3 linked regions of the Drosophila melanogaster genome follow. The protein of the gene in region 3 interacts with the protein of the main gene of each other region in a pairwise test. Each region holds a gene or a part of one and is shown on either strand. Other genes may lie near its edges.

Evidence for each region. The genes of interacting proteins can lie anywhere in the genome.
Region 1: the proteins of stops (region 3) and Mst84Db interact in a two-hybrid assay, tested with the Drosophila melanogaster proteins (one large-scale study listed by BioGRID).
Region 2: the proteins of stops (region 3) and CG10650 interact in a two-hybrid assay, tested with the Drosophila melanogaster proteins (one large-scale study listed by BioGRID).

What each region holds. Positions count from the first base shown.
Region 1 is NT_033777.3:7,363,635-7,368,256, forward strand, and holds Mst84Db (Male-specific RNA 84Db), read right to left. Parts: upstream 1,994-4,622; 5' UTR 1,942-1,993; intron 1,889-1,941; 5' UTR 1,872-1,888; coding exon 1,647-1,871; 3' UTR 1,526-1,646; downstream 1-1,525. Other genes in the region: Mst84Dc (Male-specific RNA 84Dc), read right to left, coding at 728-895; Mst84Da (Male-specific RNA 84Da), read left to right, coding at 2,299-2,337, 2,393-2,545.
Region 2 is NT_033779.5:18,991,835-18,998,612, forward strand, and holds CG10650 (uncharacterized protein), read right to left. Parts: upstream 4,101-6,778; 5' UTR 4,021-4,100; coding exon 3,945-4,020; intron 3,879-3,944; coding exon 3,768-3,878; intron 3,188-3,767; coding exon 2,303-3,187; intron 2,158-2,302; coding exon 1,952-2,157; 3' UTR 1,526-1,951; downstream 1-1,525. Other genes in the region: CG15169 (uncharacterized protein), read left to right, coding at 1-278; CG46465 (uncharacterized protein), read left to right, coding at 825-1,397; CG31792 (uncharacterized protein), read left to right, coding at 6,145-6,221, 6,290-6,375, 6,446-6,754.
Region 3 is NT_033777.3:31,164,372-31,171,002, forward strand, and holds the start of stops (slow termination of phototransduction), read right to left. Parts: upstream 4,234-6,631; 5' UTR 4,103-4,233; coding exon 3,656-4,102; intron 3,055-3,655; coding exon 2,955-3,054; intron 2,089-2,954; coding exon 1,979-2,088; intron 1,909-1,978; coding exon 1,805-1,908; intron 1-1,804.

The DNA.
Region 1 (4,622 bases), about 24 Mb from region 3:
AGAACTAAAAGAAAAGCTATTATACCAACAATTTTCTTAAATAAAAAACTACGTACAAAGTGCTGAACCTAAAAAGCTTGGAAAAGAGCTCAAATTTTGATGTTCTTGGGTTAAGGGAAAGATGAAAACTGATGTTTGCTTACATAGAACTTGCACAGGAAAGTAGAATATAGATTCAAAGCCTTCTAGATTTAAAATAAACAAATGCAAAATTAATAAAAATTTTATATCAATGCCCTAAAAGGAATTTAATTTTGTTCTTTAGTGAATTTTACAATAACGTGCTTAAGAAAATGTCCTGCCGTAGCAAGCAGTACAACTGATCCAGATGGGAACAACAAAGAACGTCCTAGTGAAGCTCGTCGGAAGGCAGAATCAATCACCTTGAGACGTCATTCGTGTAAAATAAAATGGTATTACCAAGAACGTCTCAACCATTTCCATATAGCAACTTGTGCTCGCAGCGCAATACAATCTGCTCGCTTAGTATCCGGCTAGTGTTCCTGATCAAGAAACCTACACCCACATACATATTACGAAACGCATTCCTATTATGTCAACGAGTAACGCCGAGTAAGAGCAATGGTGAACTATCCCAATGATAACATGGATCTGCATTAAGATACATATATATATATTTGTGGCTTTTAACTTTCAGGTGTTAGTTTAACCATGGTGGGATTGTGGTATGGTTTCACAAATCGATTCGGCTGCCAATTGCGAGCATTTAGCACCAACAGCCACCGCAACAACTGCCAAATGGTCCGCAACAAGGTCCACAGGGTCCACAGGGTCCACAGCAGGATCCGCACGGCCCACATCGGGGTCCACAAGGTCCACAGCAGGGACCACAGCAGTAATATCCGCAGCACGATCCACAAGGTCCACAGCACATGATTAATTCGAGAAGTCTAAAATAAACGAAATAAATATGTATACTATTTTAACTTTACAATAAACATTTTTACCAACGGTCTTTAGAAGCCAAAAAAAAAAAACAAGTATTTGGGACAAAACAACAAAATTTTGATGCGAGCAGCACAAGGGTCGAGATGAGAATGATATATTTTCCGAACTTACAAGGTTAGGTGGGTCTGACAGGTCAAGAACGATTTCCATAGCCTACTATGAATTCGAATTATGTTTATGTACAGCGGTTGATGGTTAAAAATAGTTATTATTGTTATAGAATTATTGTTATCGGACATTTGTCCGTTTGCAGACAAATACTATTATTGAATGAGGTTTAAATTCACGGTTGCAGGTTTTATACCCGCCACTCGTAGAGTAATAGCTATGCTATAGTGAATAGAAGAAAAGGTTATTTATTCTTGAGCTGGATCACAAGCCTAGTCGATATGAACGTAGGATGTTCCTCCGCCCCCTCTAACGATCGCAATCCACCAAGAATTGACAATTTTAATTTTCGCAATTATATTACATAAATTATTATTGTCACGCATTTGGTATCCATAGCTAAGACAAAGGTTGCACCATTTAGAAGAGAAAAACCATCGGAAAAGGTATTTTGAAATTCTTATTTTATTGACTAGGCCCGCGAGCTAAGAAGAGTTTATCCGCATTCAGTCCTAAGTTCCACTTTGTGGTTCACAGGAAAAAGATATTTTACATGTTGTGGTTGTTGTTCAGCACCCGCAATATGGCCTACAAGGTCCACAGCAAGGTCCACAAGGCCCGCATGGACCACAGCCCCCGCAGCAAGGACCGCAAGGACCGCAAGGGCCGCAAGGCGCACAGCAAGATCCACAAGGACTACAGCAGGAACCGCAAGGACCACAGGGTCCGCAAGGTCCGCAAGGACCGCCGCACGGGCTACAGGGTCCGCAGAATCCAAGGGGTCCGCAACACATGATGGTTCCGTAAAGTTCTAAGAAAAATTTTGTTAAAACTTCGCATGCTTACACTTTGAGAAATACTCACTTTGAACCTAACAAAGAAATAACTTAGGACGAAAAAATATTTCGATGATTACAGGCCGAGAACCAAAATAAGAATGATGGAAACCTGACTCACAAGTTGGTATATGAATTTGACAACTGTCGAAAATATCCATAGCTAACTAGATTATGGGTTTTGGGATACCAGAATATAATAATAATAATGAATATAATTTGTCGGATCATATTAGCCTTGAAATTCTCATGACTGCTGTCAAATGAAGCTTCGGCTAATTTGGATCACATTCAGTCAGTTCTCCGTTCCACCTTCAATAGTTAACACCTAAATTTTCGGTTCCTTTCGATTCCGGTTGGGAAATATCTTTTAAGAAACAAAATCATGTACATGTACGTCAACCCGAATTACGTTTTGGTTGGGGTATGTATTTATCGGTCTCGTAAGTCGAGTGAATACTTTTAATATGATTTATCAGGGCCCCTGCTGTGGCCCCTGCGGCGGATGCGGACCCTGTGGTGGATGTGGCCCCTGCTGTGGTGGGTGTGGCCCCTGCTGTGGTCCTTGCGGAGGATGTGGACCTTGCTGCGGCGGCACCAGCAGTTTTTGCGGTTGCGGTCCTTGCTGCTAAACCAGTTGACCCGGAAACCTGTCGGAATACTTCCGGGAACTATGTAAATCTCAAAAAATAAACTGTGTGGGAGACAACAAATTATATATTTTTGTTTCTTATTGAAATTAATAATGTAATGTCCTAGTCAACGTAGCTTGGTAGTAGCGGCATCGAGTAAATCAGCTTGTTCCAAAAGTTCGGATGGCTTCTCTCCAGATAGGTGTTAAATGCCATGTAGGTCCTTAGCTCGCTATCCAGACTGTCGAAGTTCTTCACGTTTGGATAGAGCACCACTATCAGACGCTTGCACCGATCGCGTGAGGTGGCGTGGAGGGCCAGTCGGAACTCGAGGCGACCCCAAGTGGAATTCATAAAGTTCTCTGTCATGAGGACAATAATGCGCCGCGAGTCCTTTATAGATTGACCAATGCAATCGGGAATAGATTCGCCCGCCAGCCAGTCTCGCAGGTAGAAGCAGAGTTGGAACCTGGGCCTACCACGTTCCAGCCTATCCACGAACTCCTCCAGCAGAGCCTCGTCCTTATGGGTAAACGCCAGAAAGGCATCGAACCTTTTGTCCTTATCAAGTTCCCGCTTGGCTGACAGACTGAGACACACACCGTGCTCATAGAACCAGACCAGGACCGGTTGTCTGAACCATATCAAAAAGTTTAAGGCAATGATCGTGGCCACTAGGGAGATCGCGAGTGCCAAATAATAAAAGAGGTCAGATGGACACACAATATGCTGATTAATCGAGACTAGCTTCTCACCATTACTGCACTTTATCTCAGTGAAGTCTACTATACTTGAAGACACACTCTTCATGAAATTTATCTTTTCTATATCGTTGCAAGAACAAGACCAGGGATTGTCAAGCAAATGCAGCTTTAACGATCTGTTCTCGATAGAAGAACGATTCTTCTGTGACAGGGCCGTAAGGTTGTTATTCCTTAGGTCCACATAGGTAACCCTGCTTGAAAGTGAAGGCATCTGTAGAAGTCCTTCTCCTCTGCAATCGACAATAAATGATGGCCATGTCAAGTTATCCAAGCAGCAGACACAAACATCTGGACAATCCGTTGGAGATATATTGCAACGTTTCAACGTGACGTCATACTCAAGGGGTTCGTGATCTCTCAAAATGGAAAGGACTGATCTCGACTTACAGTCGCAATTCCAGGGATTCCCAGAAAGTTTAGTTTTAATTGAATTTTTCTTAAGGTAACTCAGGACTTTGTCATCCAGGGTAACGAGATTATTGAAACGTAGATCAAGAAACCTTAGTTCCTTTGGTAGCATTGCGATGGTTATGTTTGATATATTATTTTTAGATAAATGCAGTTCCATAGGACTAGACATATTTTGTTTTCACATAAGACGACTATTTCTAGCAACGATATCGGGAAAGTTATATACAAATTTATTCCTGCAGTCTATTTTTAAAATAAGTGAATCGCGGCTATAACAACACTCGCACTTATGAGGACAGGGGGCTGCCATTTGACGAATATAAAATAGATCATACTCCCGATTGACGAATATTAGTTTTCGGTGAAGCCATTCCATATACTTATAGATGCTCATAATTGTATTAAGGTTGTTTAGTTTGCGATGCATACTTTGCAACAACTGTTCCTCATTGATCAAATAGTATTCTTGTTTTCTCACACCTAGCCAAATGAAGTGCTTTCCCAAAAACTTCAAAAACCCCTTAGGTAATTCGGTTAACGAGTGCAAGAACATAGGTTTCATTTCAGCACTTTTCATCCGTATTATCAATTTGAGATGTCTAAAGAAATTTAATAACGGCTTGTCATCACAATGAATAGTCCATTGATTGCCTGTTTGCTTAAAGATGGGGACAGTTCTTAAGTATTTGATTACATCGTTTCCCATATTAATTATTTCGTTGAAGCTTACATCAAGATAGTCCAGTTTCGCTGGAAGGTGATTGATACTTAAGTTGGTTAACCTATTCCGCGAAACATCAAGTCTTTTAACCAATTTATATCCAGGTAAAGTCATAGTTGGCAACTGAGAGAGAGAATTATTGGAAAAATTCAACTTCACACCGCCATAACTTGGAATTGGT
Region 2 (6,778 bases), on a different chromosome or scaffold from region 3:
GGAATGGATGTCGCACCATACTGCTCAACGATCCCAATGTCGTTCCGGGGAAGAAGTACTTCCTGCATCGGGGCTGTGTATCCGAGTTAGATATGGAGCTATCTCGCTATTGCGCCGAGAATGAGAAGCTGTGTCCCACGTGCTACGAGGACAATTGTAATGTTCACAACATGACTGAATATGAAGTCACTCCGGGCTCTGCAGCAGTCACCCATCATCCGGGGGTGCTATTCCTTATCTGGAGCATCGGTTTGGTTAGCTGGCAGGTGGCTTTTTAAAAATCCACCCACGCTATTCTGAGTCATAACAATTAAAAAGTAAATGGAGATTGGCATACTTAAAAATCGATAGGTATGACTAATACTGAAAATCGCAGATTATATCGCTGTCTGTCTAGATAAATTAGTTTATCTATGAAATACATAAGCCCAATTAATATAAATTTCTGTTACGAAACTTAATCTATTTGCAGCGCGTGGGGATTTTCGTTTTCTTTCTTAAATAGTGAAATATACTGTACTTAATATGCAAATGTATATAAAATAAAGCATTTCAAGGCGAAACATTTGATTGAGAACATAACTAGTACTTATATTACAAGATAATTATTGTTCAGCAGCTGCTTAATGGATCAGGGATACTGGGAACGGTTTTTAAATTTGGTCCCTTGAGTACGTTTCCTGAAACCATATCATTTAGAGGATATAAAATGGCTCAACAGAACCTAGACTGCAGTTGGCTAAGTCATCGAAGCGTGTCTATAAGCACGGATCAGCGGAACCAAAATTGAATATATCTAGAAATTAAATACGTTTTGTTTAAGAATGTGTCTGCTTTCCAATAATATTATTCTACTTACTATACTGTCAGTCCTCGAAGTCCAGGGACTTTACCAGCAGCAAACAAGTACAGTGTTACCCACCGTAAAGTCCACTATGAGCTCAGACCATACCACCGGAATGGAGGAAAGTTCGTCACCTGTCGAGGAAACAACAACGCTTTCTCCGCCTATAAGATGCCTCAGTTGTAAATTTTGCTCACCCAATGAGGGGAAAACCAGAACTAGGAAGGGCAAAAAGATGTGCCACATAAAGTTAGGCGAATTGAACGGTTGCGTATCTATGTACTTCAACTTCAACAGCAGTGCTGGAGGACCAGATGGCTTTATGGTGAGAAGCTGCATTTCCGACATGGACGAGAGTTCACTGGAACACTGCGAGAAACATGCAGAACTCTGTGAGAGGTGTTTCGAAGACGATTGCAACTATGTGGAAATAGATAAAAATGGTTTGGCCACGAATGCAGGATCGCGAATAATATACTCAAGTCTAATGATCTTCTGTTTAGCCGGCTGGCTCTTTAGGAGTGAAAAATGCAAACTTATGATTATATTATAGGCCTGTTCAGCTTAATAATGGCAAATTGAAAACCAAAATTATGGAATTCGGCGAAATCACCATCGTCATGTAATGGAAAATGTAATTTGAGTTACCTAAGAATGCTACAAATACTTTCTGAGACATTTCCAACTGGCTCTTCTAGTGCACCCAAACAAATTTCTTCGAACTATTGTTAATATAAACTCTCATTTTGATTGATGCAATAAATATACACACATATATGTACAAAGTATATTATTAATGGTACTGCGGTTGATAAGGCGTTGTGATTATTTCTTTATTTGATAAGGCCTAGCAGGTTGAAAACTCTTTTACCACTAGCCATCAATGAAAACAGGGTTTTCCAAGGACATAATTACTAAACTACTGTGAAAGAGTAATTGTTTTATTAAAATGATTTATTTGGGATTATGGAAGTGTTCTTAAAATGCTTCAGCTCCTATAATTAGGTTATGTCTTTTTGTCTGTTGCTTTGTAATAGTTAACATTACTCATAGACCCAGGCACCCGGTAATTTGATTGGATCATCCAACTACGTGGAGGTGGTTGGATTACAGGGCACTGCGTAGAGCGATCACCACTCCCGTCAGAAGGCCGACCACGCCCACATTCCTGAGTGCGCCTGCTCCATTGAAGGGTACCTTGTTGCACTTGCTCTCCGTACACAATTCGCACTGATGGGCCTCCACTTTGGCATTGCACTGGTACTGCATCAGGTGGCTGGCAGCGGTAAAACATCCTCGCACTCCAAGTTCATCTGGGGGAAAATGTTGAAAGGCAATTGTTAGGATTTTTGCTGGCATAATAATAATGCAATTTGGGAATACCCTTTTACATTATAAAATAAAATCTTTGAAAACTATAGCATTGATTCGCTGTGCTTAGACTTGGTACCAACTTACTCCAGACTCCGCTGTAGCACGTTCCATTGGGGCAGTTGATCAAAGGGAGCGTGTCCGGATATTTGGCCGACCAGCAGCCGGAAACCTCATTCGAAATGCATGTAATGCACTGGAACTCGCCGGCAGCCACATTGCAGCCATTTTCGGAGCAGGAAGTGCAGGCATTGGTTGTAGAGCAGCCAGCCTCCAAGGTGTTTAGGCACCCTCGGGTAACATTGGTTCCTGAGGTCATGGTATAACACCCGACTTCCTGGTTGTACTTGGCCTGTCCGCAGGACTTCGCATTGGTAGCAACCTGTTGCTCCGCACAGTTCTCGCAAATGATACAGGAACCGGCCTCTCGTTCGTAGGTCGGACTATTGCAAAAGTCGGAGTTGCAGACGAGGCAACTGGGATCAGTGCTGTCCGACGCACACTTGATTTCCGTGGTGGCCGATGTGCAACCACGGGTCATGTTGCTCGCAGACGTTCCGGTGGTGAAGCACCCGGCATCGATTTGACTACATCCCGCGACCAAGGTATTTGAGACCGCATTGCAGTTCTCTCCTGAGCAATTATAGCACTGGCGACGATTGGCGGGGAATAGTCCCACATTGCACAGGGATGCCGAGCATGAGGAGCACGTGGATTCCGTTCCAGCAGCACAGGGGTCACCACATTGACGGGTCACCGTCTTGTTGTCATTCAACTGATTCACGCAGACCTGTCCATTATTGGGGCACACTGCATTGTATTGCGTATCCGTCACGTTGGTCGTGGCGCAATTCGCTTCGCCGAGGCACTGCTGGCACACCAAATTCAAATTGCAATTGTCTTCCTTGCAGGTCGAGCAGGATGGTAAGGTGCACGCAGTGCCATTAATCAAGCAGCCACGAGTTAGAGTTCCTATTGGGATACAGAAAATCAATAACTAGATGCAAGGGAATATGGTTCAGAGCAAAACTTCGTATGATTTCTAATATAAACTTATAATGATTTCTAATATAACTTATATATTCCTTATAAGTTGAGAGCCTGCAGATTCTAGTGGCGCCTAAGCTGTGCTAATTTCATTCAGATCATTTTCACGCCCACTCTAAAGCCCACAAAGCGTGCCAGATTCTACTGATACTTCAACAGAATGTTTAAATGTGTACCTTAAACTCCCACAAGCTGAATAAAGAGGTATCTGATGGTCGAGTGACTCCACTTTAGCGTTCTCTTCGTTATTAAATCAAATTATACGCAATATTTAAATCTTAGACAACAACACGAAAAAGCCAGGTAGTGCAGTAACTGCCAAATGAGTCACAACATCATAAACCTTTTTCGATCCGCACGAAATTAGAAAAGAAAACAAGGATCAATAGCTATCAAAAAGAAAAAGAGATAATCGCTTATCACCTTTGGTTGCACTGATCGATAAGAGGGCCACTACCCCCGTCTAAGAATATGAAATAGTCGGTCATGAGTCATACAAACCCACCTGCGTTAATAAGAGTATAGCATTCATTATCACACTCTATAGAAGTTTGAGTAGATGGACTCGTTAAACAATTTCCAGTGTCATTCGTCGTCGATGTGCACGAATAGCACTCTGCAATGGCAATAATAATTTGAAGTAAGTCATTTGAAAAAACTCATCCAAAATGTGGTAACCTACGGAGGGCTGAGGTGCTGTCCAGCTGGCTGGCAATGAAAGCTGCTATCACAATCATACACAGGCTGTATTCTCTCATGGCTCTCGGTTTTCTATTCTTTCTGGCTTCTCAACTGAAATGTCGGACCGGCTGGATCGACCACCGTTTTTTAACTGGCTCCCTCACTGTTTGGCCATATTTTTTTTACCCCCATTCGCATAATCAATTTCACCTGAACTCACTAACACCTGCCAAGCTCTTCTCCGCATGCAGTGGTTATCTGCTCTACACACATATATATGTTTGTATACATATATATATATATATATATATATATGTACAATCGGAGGAAGTCAGTTCTCTTTTAGCTGATAACTTCAATACCCAGGTGTAAATGTGCAAGTGTGTGTGTGTACAACGCTGTTCACATGCGATGATAGTTACCACAAGCCTGCATTTACTTTGGAGCTTTTGCAAAAGCTGAAAAATTAACCCATGCTGCCAACGTTCTTACCGTATTTCCTTAAACGAATATACATCAACAGTAACTTCCTGTTTCCGATCTAGCCGGCGGATAATTGAACACAATTATAACGATAATTAAATACTTTAATTAAAATTTGGTTTGCCTTGGCTGTACGGCAGTTATATGATATATTTTCTTTTGATTTTCATCAAATTAAAATATGGTCAAAAACTGTTGTATATCTCATACATATATTAATACTTACCATTATTTTTCGATTATCCCTATAACAGCAATATGATATAGTGGTCCAACCTATATGTATACTAACTGAAATTGAACGAAGACAAACATGACTGTATCGACTCTACTGTTGAATATACGAATCTGAATGAAATCAATGTACCATTTGCAAGGGTATAAAAATAAAAGGCGCCACCAAAAACTGCATGAATAATCTCAATTTCCAGATTTTACAGGTTCGACAAACTTTCCATTTGATTATGGATTGACTATAGTTCCATTGATAAAAAAAATAATGTAATTTGAACTAACAAGAAAGAACTCAATTCCTATCAGATACCCAGATTTAATTGAATAAATACACATTTGTAGGGTCAAAAACACTTTCTTGTTTCATAGTTTTTAACCCTTATATTCTACGAGGAAAGTGTACAATTATATATGTAAAGCTGTATTGCCCAATTTTCTGGCTAATAACATATAAACAATGTGCCTTAACTACAAGTCATATATCTTAACGATACTTGAGGATTGAAGTGAGACTTTTGTTTATATGTGAACGTTCGTTCTCAAGTTTATAATTTCGGTTACTCGTTCTTGAACTTATGTGTTTGCTTTTAAGTTTTTTTTTTTTTTATCGTTCGTTCCTAATTTAATATCGAAACTTAATTTTTCTCTCAGTGTCTTAATAAAAATTATTATTATTTATTGTATTTGGGCGACTTCTTAAATTCTGCACATGCCGGTGTTTTATGTTATTAAGGTTTAAGTTGAAGTCTAGACAAAATGATTCAATAAAACAAAGTACAAATAGTAAGTACATACTTTTATATCTTTTTATCTTTAGCATATCATTTAAGGTTTTTTTGAACCAGACTGGTATTCAACATAAAGCCATTATCTTCAAAAAATATAACCGAAATCTAATCTGGGTTATCTCCGGCGAATTTAGCACCGAGAGCTAATCATGTTGCTCACACTCAGTACCTTTAAGATCTTTTCTACGCGCGGACGTATTGCTGTTTAGTTGAATTTCTGGCATTGCAATTTAATAAATTAGTTCGTTGGAAAGCATGTTATACGTTGAAAAGTGCAAGTGACTTCAAGCCTAGAAGGTATAAATATTTTTGATCATTCGATCCGACTATGTCTGTCCATATAAGCGTCGAGATCTCGGAAACCTACGTCAACAAATTACAAAAAGCTTTAGATTCTTGGTAACGACTTCTTTGCAGAAGACCAAAAATGCTGGTCATTATATTATAGTAGAAGTTCAAGATTTTAAAGTGCCAGTGACGTTGAAGGCGTGTGGAATAAATTTTACCTGAGTAGCAGGTATCTGATAGTCGGGTAGCTCGACAATCGTATTCTGTCCCATTTTAGACAAGCTGTTTAATGGCTAATTACTTATTGATTAGAAAATCATTAATTCAAATTTATTTCTTGCTGTCTGGATTGTTTCACTTGCATAATATTTGTTATGTAGCGAAACATAACGTAGTAATCGTAATAAAATGCAGTCCTTTAAGAATGAAGATCTCCCGGAGAATCCTCGAGAACGATCGAATATTTTTTCTGCGTTATCCTTTTGGTAAGATAGTGCAAACGTGCGACGCCAACATATTTTTCAAGTGTGAACAATTTTTTCAAATAATTCAGGTATACCATTCCCACTTTTATTAAGGGGCAAAAGGTCACATTGGGTGCAAAGGACCTTTACAGGGCCTTGAAAGAGCATAGGGCCGGTAAGTGTTTTTGGTGTATATATAATAATATTTTCATATATACATCCTCATATCTCTATTTTGTGCAAAGAGTCGCTCGGCAACAAATTATGCTCTTCCTGGGCGAATGAACTGGAGACCAACAAGAAGAACGCCAGTTTGCTCAGAGTACTCTTTCGTGTTTTTGGTCGGTACTTCGTCTTCCTCGGATTGGTTCTCTTCTGCCTGGAGGTTATACTCACGGTGCAGCCCATGTTTCTCATGAAGCTTATATCCAGCTTTTCCAATCCTAGCCCAACATCCAATGGAGTGGCATATGCCTACGCGGGCGGAGTGATTTTAGGCTCTGCACTCAAAGTGATCCTTATGAACCCGTACTCATTCGCCGTGACTCACCTGGGTGTGTTCCTTACTTATTGATGTT
Region 3 (6,631 bases):
CAATAGCCGTATATAGCACCTCGTGGCTGGCATATTCTCCTCCAGTCGGAAGTGATTTGCCCCCAAGTCAGACATTAACACTTTAATCAGCTGCTGAGTGGGCTGACAAATCAAATTTCTGTCTAATGGTCTGCTTAGCGAGTATTAGCCGGCGTTTCATGTTAATGTCTTTGCTATACAGTGTGCACTTCGATTAAATCCGATGAAAAGAGTATGAGTTCTCAGCTTGTGAAGTTCCCAGTGCCTTGGAGGGTATAAATTATTCCGAGTGCCATTAAGTCGGCAGGTTATGCAAATGCAGTAGTGAAATAATGTAACTTGCTATTTTAAGCCATTTAAGCCATGCAATTACTGAATTAAATCATGTTTTTTTCTCAATAAACAATTAGGTTTTAGTGTTTTGTTAAACACCCTTTTCAGGTGTTTTCTTTGCAAATCCGTTACTGTTGCATTAGAACCCTAACATCGTAAGTAAATTGTGTAAATCTCATTGTGAGCTTTTAGCTTCAACACAATTCCTTTTCACGAGTGTTCACTGTTCTGCGAAAACTTTGGCAATATGCTGCTCCAGCACTGATTTATGCAACTTCAACGGCATTTGGCCGAAACGTTTATTGTCACATTGCTTGTTTTTCTCAGCTCTTGGGTCGCACACTCCACACACACACTCCCAATCGTACACCCACATACATTTGCAGCTATTGACGCTTATTCATGACTTTGGCTGCTGTTTTGCGAGAGGGCATCATAAATGTCGTCTTAATGCTTGCCAGTCAGTATGTTTTTTGCCTTCTGTTTGTTTAAGAAGCGCAAACAGTCAACTCGGCAATGGTATGGGTATGGTATATCCAAGGGGGCGGGCTGTATCTGTGTGGATTAGTGGGCGTGGTGGGGTTGAGCATGCCTTTGTGCGCTTATTACACGCATTTTTGACTTTAATCCTCCGAAGTGCTGGCGAACAAAGCCGAAATAACAAAAGGTTTACATCGCTGCCTGTTGGTTTTCAGCTTATCGCATCAGCGACACTCACACACGGACCTCATGTGCATGTGGGAGGGTCGGAAAAAGAAGGCGGAAAATGGGAAACCCCCCCCCAAAAGCAAGCTGCAAATGAAAATCTTAATTATACATGACACCAGCAGAAGTGAGAGAAAGCCACCGCCAGTGATTGAGAGCCATTCTCTGTAAAAGTGTATTCGCAGTCGTGTCTGTGGTTGTAAATTGTCGCCATCTTTCACTCAATTATGGCAGTCACACACACACACACACTCTGTGTAGGTGCCACAACAATGGCTGATGAATTAATTTAATTAAAATCCTTTCATTTCTCTGGTTACCCTTCACGTTCGTCCACCATTTCCTTGCATTCCCAGCGGGTATTTATAGTATCTTATTGTTACCGAAAACATTATTATTGTGTGGAAAACTGGCAAGCCATTAAGATTGATCGGTATCTCGGCACATAATCCGAATTTTAAAGTTTAATCTTTAATTCTTGGCGATTTGCTTTGTAAGCAACTTATAATTTGCTCTGATAGCCATAAGCTAAGTGTATAGAAAGGCTTACTGTGACTGTTATGAAAGTAAGAGCTCTCCATAAATGTCCAAGCATACAGCTAGTATGAAAAACTCTTTGGGGGAATGAAGACCTCGGCATGGCACCCAGGCAACTATCCAATTAACCCGGCTAGTGTGAAAATCGCTCGAGGCAGCAAAAGAGCGCGACACATGAAAGAGTGAAGAGGGGGGAGTGGGGAAAAGGGGAGAATGTCAGGACAGGATGGGGACCGGGCTGAGGACTCACCTGAGCTGTCGCTCCTGCTCGAAGCGCGGAATCCAGACGGGCAATGTGAGCTGTTCGCGTGTGGCGTGCTTCAGAAAGTAAACCATAGCCCGGACATTCTCGTGCTGCGAACAAAGGACATACATGGGTGTCTATTCCACGGGGCCAGGAATAGGGTCTTTCTGCCAGTCTCACCTGATCCTGAAAGTCACTGCGCCAGCCGGCGATGAAGTGCGGAGCATGTGGTCCAAACAGGGCGCCCAGGAAAATGCGCTCATATGTCTTCTCGCACTCGTAAATGGCCACTGAATTGCACAAAAAGGGGATAAATTAGTCATGGGAACAGGAAAATAGTTAAAAGTTAATTTATATAAAACAAGCCACGTTTAATAACATTTCGAAGTGGGTAATGCCATAAACCAAATTTGTATACACATTGTGACCGATTTTCCCGCGATGCAGGCAAATTGTCGGTAGTGGAGAAAGCGGTTAAATAATGTCATCAAATCGCAGCAGCGCAGCCATAAAAAAGCTAATTACGTGGCTGCACTTGTTGCTGCTTTGGTTTTTTGGCTTTCGGTTTCGTTGGCTTTTTGGCACAGCCCAGAAATGAAGTCAGCGGAAAACGGAAACGGCCACAATGTTTGCCAAACCAAGGCCAGCGGGTCCAAAAGGCTGGAGTCAGCAACAAAGCAACTTGGTGAGTGAGGACAGGACAAACAAGGAGCAAGTTTTATTGCACACGAGTCCAGATTCCCTGACAGAGGCATGCCATTAATTCCAGGCACTTTTCCTGCTCGCAAAAGTTTACGCAGCCTTTTAATTAGAGGCAGCCAACATGCGTACGCCCCAAATAACTTGCAACACTTTGAGGCACTTTACAAGTTTTACGATGCAGCAACAACAGAGCAACAGAACGACATCAGCAACACTTTCTTAACGCAATTAGCAGAAACACGTGATTAAAGTGAAAACTGCCTGCTTATGGGCGTAATAATCCGATGCGATGGGATGATATTTATTAAAGTATGCAAAGCACACAGCCACGCCCAAAAAGCAAACAGGAAAGTCTTGCCACACACACACGCACACTCACTCGCATACGCTTACGCACACATACGCATACATATGCATTTAAATTAAATTATTTAGTTGGCCCGACTCCACTTACCCAGCAGCTTGACGACCACCTCCGAGTCCCGGACTCCCCAATCCCAGCAGGTGCGCAGTCCGATGTACAGGATGTTGTGATACTTGCCCATGAGGCAGACCTGGGGAATACGCATGGAATGGAGGGTGTGGTGAAGGGGCTGAATCCCAACTGAAGTGCTACTTTTTAAATTATAAATAATTGCCATATGAAGAGATGGCATTTAAAATGGAAGAAAATTAAGTTTAGCAGACTCTGCCAAAGGAAATTAAGCCCGAAACAACTTTCCATATTTATTTACACTCTAAAAGGTCAATTGGATCGCAGCAGCAGGATATACATATTTATGCATAGTTTTAGTACTTTTCTAACCGTTTTCTAGAAAGCTTTATTAAATTCCACTTTTATTCGACTCAAAAGCAAAGCAATGTTATTTGGCTAATTAATCATTGGTTTCCATTCATAAGGCTTGGTTTAAACATTAACATTTATTTAATACGACAACGAAATAGACTGACTTGGCTTTTGTTCTAATTATTTATTTCGTTTTTTTAAGTACCGGAAACTAATTGTCAAATCATTATTAATTAAGTTGAGCTTTGCTAAAGCCCAGTGCTAGTTTGTATGGACTCTTTTAAGTAAATATTTATTCATATTAACTATTGAAGTTTGGCACACAGAAATGCCACATTGGCAACACTCGATTTGTACATAAAGCTCACCTGGCCGTTCTGCTCCTTGGCCATTCGGTGGTACCTCATGGCCGCCGTCACCGCGATGGCGGCCACCTCATCCGTCTGCGAGTTCTGGCCGCCGCTGCAGCCCTTGATGATGGAGCTCAGGTGGTCGAGGACATCTCGCCGCGACTGGCGGTCCTGCAGTCCGTTGCGGGAGATCTGCTCGAAGGTGTCGTCGAAGAAGCACTCGAAGATGTAGTCCATGACCAGATGGCGGCGCTGGGTTCGCCGGTTCCGCTGGTGACTGGCCCTATTGGCAGGATTCCGACGCAGTTGTTCCCGCACCCGCAGACGCAGCCGTGCCCGTGACTCAGTTTCCCGGCGGAAACCGTAGAAATGCCGTGGAAATGGCAACCAGCAGCGAACCCACACAAATTGGCTTTTTAATTGACTTACCAGCCGCTGGAAAGCCTGTAGCAACTGCGAAAGCATATTGCAAACAAAATTTAATTCACTTTAAGTAGGCAAATATTTTCGATTGAGCTGAATTGATGATTCCCTCCAAAGAATTGAAATTCCGCTTCAAAAAAACTCCCGCACCGCTGAAGCCAAAGAGTCGCAATACACAAAAAAGAGAGAATTTCTTTTGCGGGGGTGACTCTCTTGCGCTATCGATTTTTTGCAGCTGGCAATGATGTGCTGGGAGAACTTTTGATAAACATAAACAACTCATAATGAGCATGCGGAATATTCATTTTAATATTTTTAAGCATTGCAATCATATAAGAAAATAATTACATAGTATGTAAAGCTTATTCAAAAGCTGATATACAGTTCAATTACTTTTTAGGCCTCTTTATTTCCGTGAAGCTCCCAGCAAAGCAATTGGCAAACAGGTGTTTGATTACCAGCCGACAAGTATATTTCTATGAGCTCTTCAAAAACCGAATGGAACTCGAGGACTCCATTGAAACTGATTCGATTCGATTCAATTCGATTGGTTTTTGCTAAACAGTCTATTGCACTTTGAAATTTGCTGGCATTTTTCCGAACCATTTATTCACTGCACGCAGCGCACTCACACAATTTTCCACCCCACTCATCAGCTGCCGCTGGAAAACTAAACAAACGAAGTCCAATTTCTAAGAACGCTCAGCTGTTTACCTAAGCGCTCACTCTCCCGCTTTCTCTCCACTCTCTCTTTGTACAGAGAGTAGCGGAGGTATTAAATACGCGTTTCATGAGCATAAAGCTAAATTAGATTCTAAATTGGAATTTTCAATTTAAAATATATAGTACATATGTATGCTCTCACATTATTTTTGTGCTAAATGGGTAATGTTTGGCGATAAGCATAAAATCAAATGGCGCATAAAAACGCAGGTTTTTGTGATTTTGCAATATTAAACTGAAAAATAATTGGTTTGTCATTATAAGGATTATGCTTGATTCAACAAAAATATATTTATTTCGAAATAAATACTGATGGTGTGCTGTTTAATGTTTCAGTGCTTTTTTCGGTTTAAATCATTAATGAATTTGATTTTACAACGGAAAACTGAAAACTAATACAAAGTCACTCGATACTTCATTCCAGAGTGAAACCGATATTATCATAAAGCGAACCGCTTTAAGCTATCTTTTTAGAGATTTACTAATCCCCCTTCAATGAATCCATTACATTTTCAAGGGGATCATTTTGAAATAAATATTGCAACAAATATTCATATACACGGATTTAAATCTGTAAACAATAGGAGTGTTTTCTCGAGCTTTAGCCACGTCAAATGTATTTTAAAACACGACTCCAATTGTCATGTAAATTTCTCAGCTACAAAATAAATTCATATTTTAAATAGCAATTGTGCACATTGTTTACATGTTTTTCTATCACCCTTTGCCAATTAATATTTGTTTATGCGGGACATATCAATTTTCCCATACATTATTCAGGCCCACTCATTCCATTATTCGCCGTATTTGCACGTTTAATATTTGGGCTGACAATTAAGCGCTGGGTAAATATTTAAGCACTGCCATAAACATTAATTAAGAACGCACACCAAGGGATCCAGAGATGATGACTGGGATAATCATGTCTGGTAGGGATTCCTCGGGTCCTTCGCCTTAATCGCATATGCAAATAAGTGTCGAAGGACATTCGGCACAGTGTAATTAACTCAGGTCCATTAAAACGGTGCATATTTGTGCTGGTTACCCAGGACAACATGGCAATATTTTCACCTGAACAGGCTCACCTGAGCGCTAATTAAAAGGGCAATGCAATTGTGGCCATATGCAGGCTATCCGATGCCGCAAAGGTAGCGAATTAATTGAATTAAATTCGTATCCAATCAGCGGCGTATTGGCCGTAAATATATGAGTCCGAATAAATGCAACAATGTGTGGTTGCACTGTGGTCGAGCCAAGCGGAAGCGGAAATGCACACAAGCCTGGCGAAATTTTTATTTCGCTTCCGTTTTATGCTGCACTCGATTGTGCGGGCACATGGAGCACAATAACCGAATTTACATAATTTCTGGCGATGCAATCTAATAGCTGAATAAGGGGTCTCCCACTGTGGAAATTACGATGGCAATTTATTGGTGTGCAGATTGAGAAAAAAAAACGACCCCCGAGATATACATCATTCAGAGTGCATTATGGCATCAGACCAAGTCCACAACGGAACTCCCTAACTCGAATTTATGTGACTGCCAAAGGAGTCACATCTCAAATGTTAAGCACTACTATTCTTTGCTTACTGAATTTGCTTGCATCTTAAAGATATAGCTTATACATAACGTTCTGTCTTTATTTCTCTTCGTAAGTGATATTAAAACTCGGTGATTACTTTGTAATTTTGGATAGAATTATTTACTGCGCTACTCTACTTAAGAAAGTTTTATTTACGAAATTTCAGTTTACACTATACTAAACCCCAAAGAAGAATAACAGTTGAGTTTACACAGTGCCTTCCGCCCTGAAACTTATGGCATCTGCCCCTTTTTCCTTTCCTTT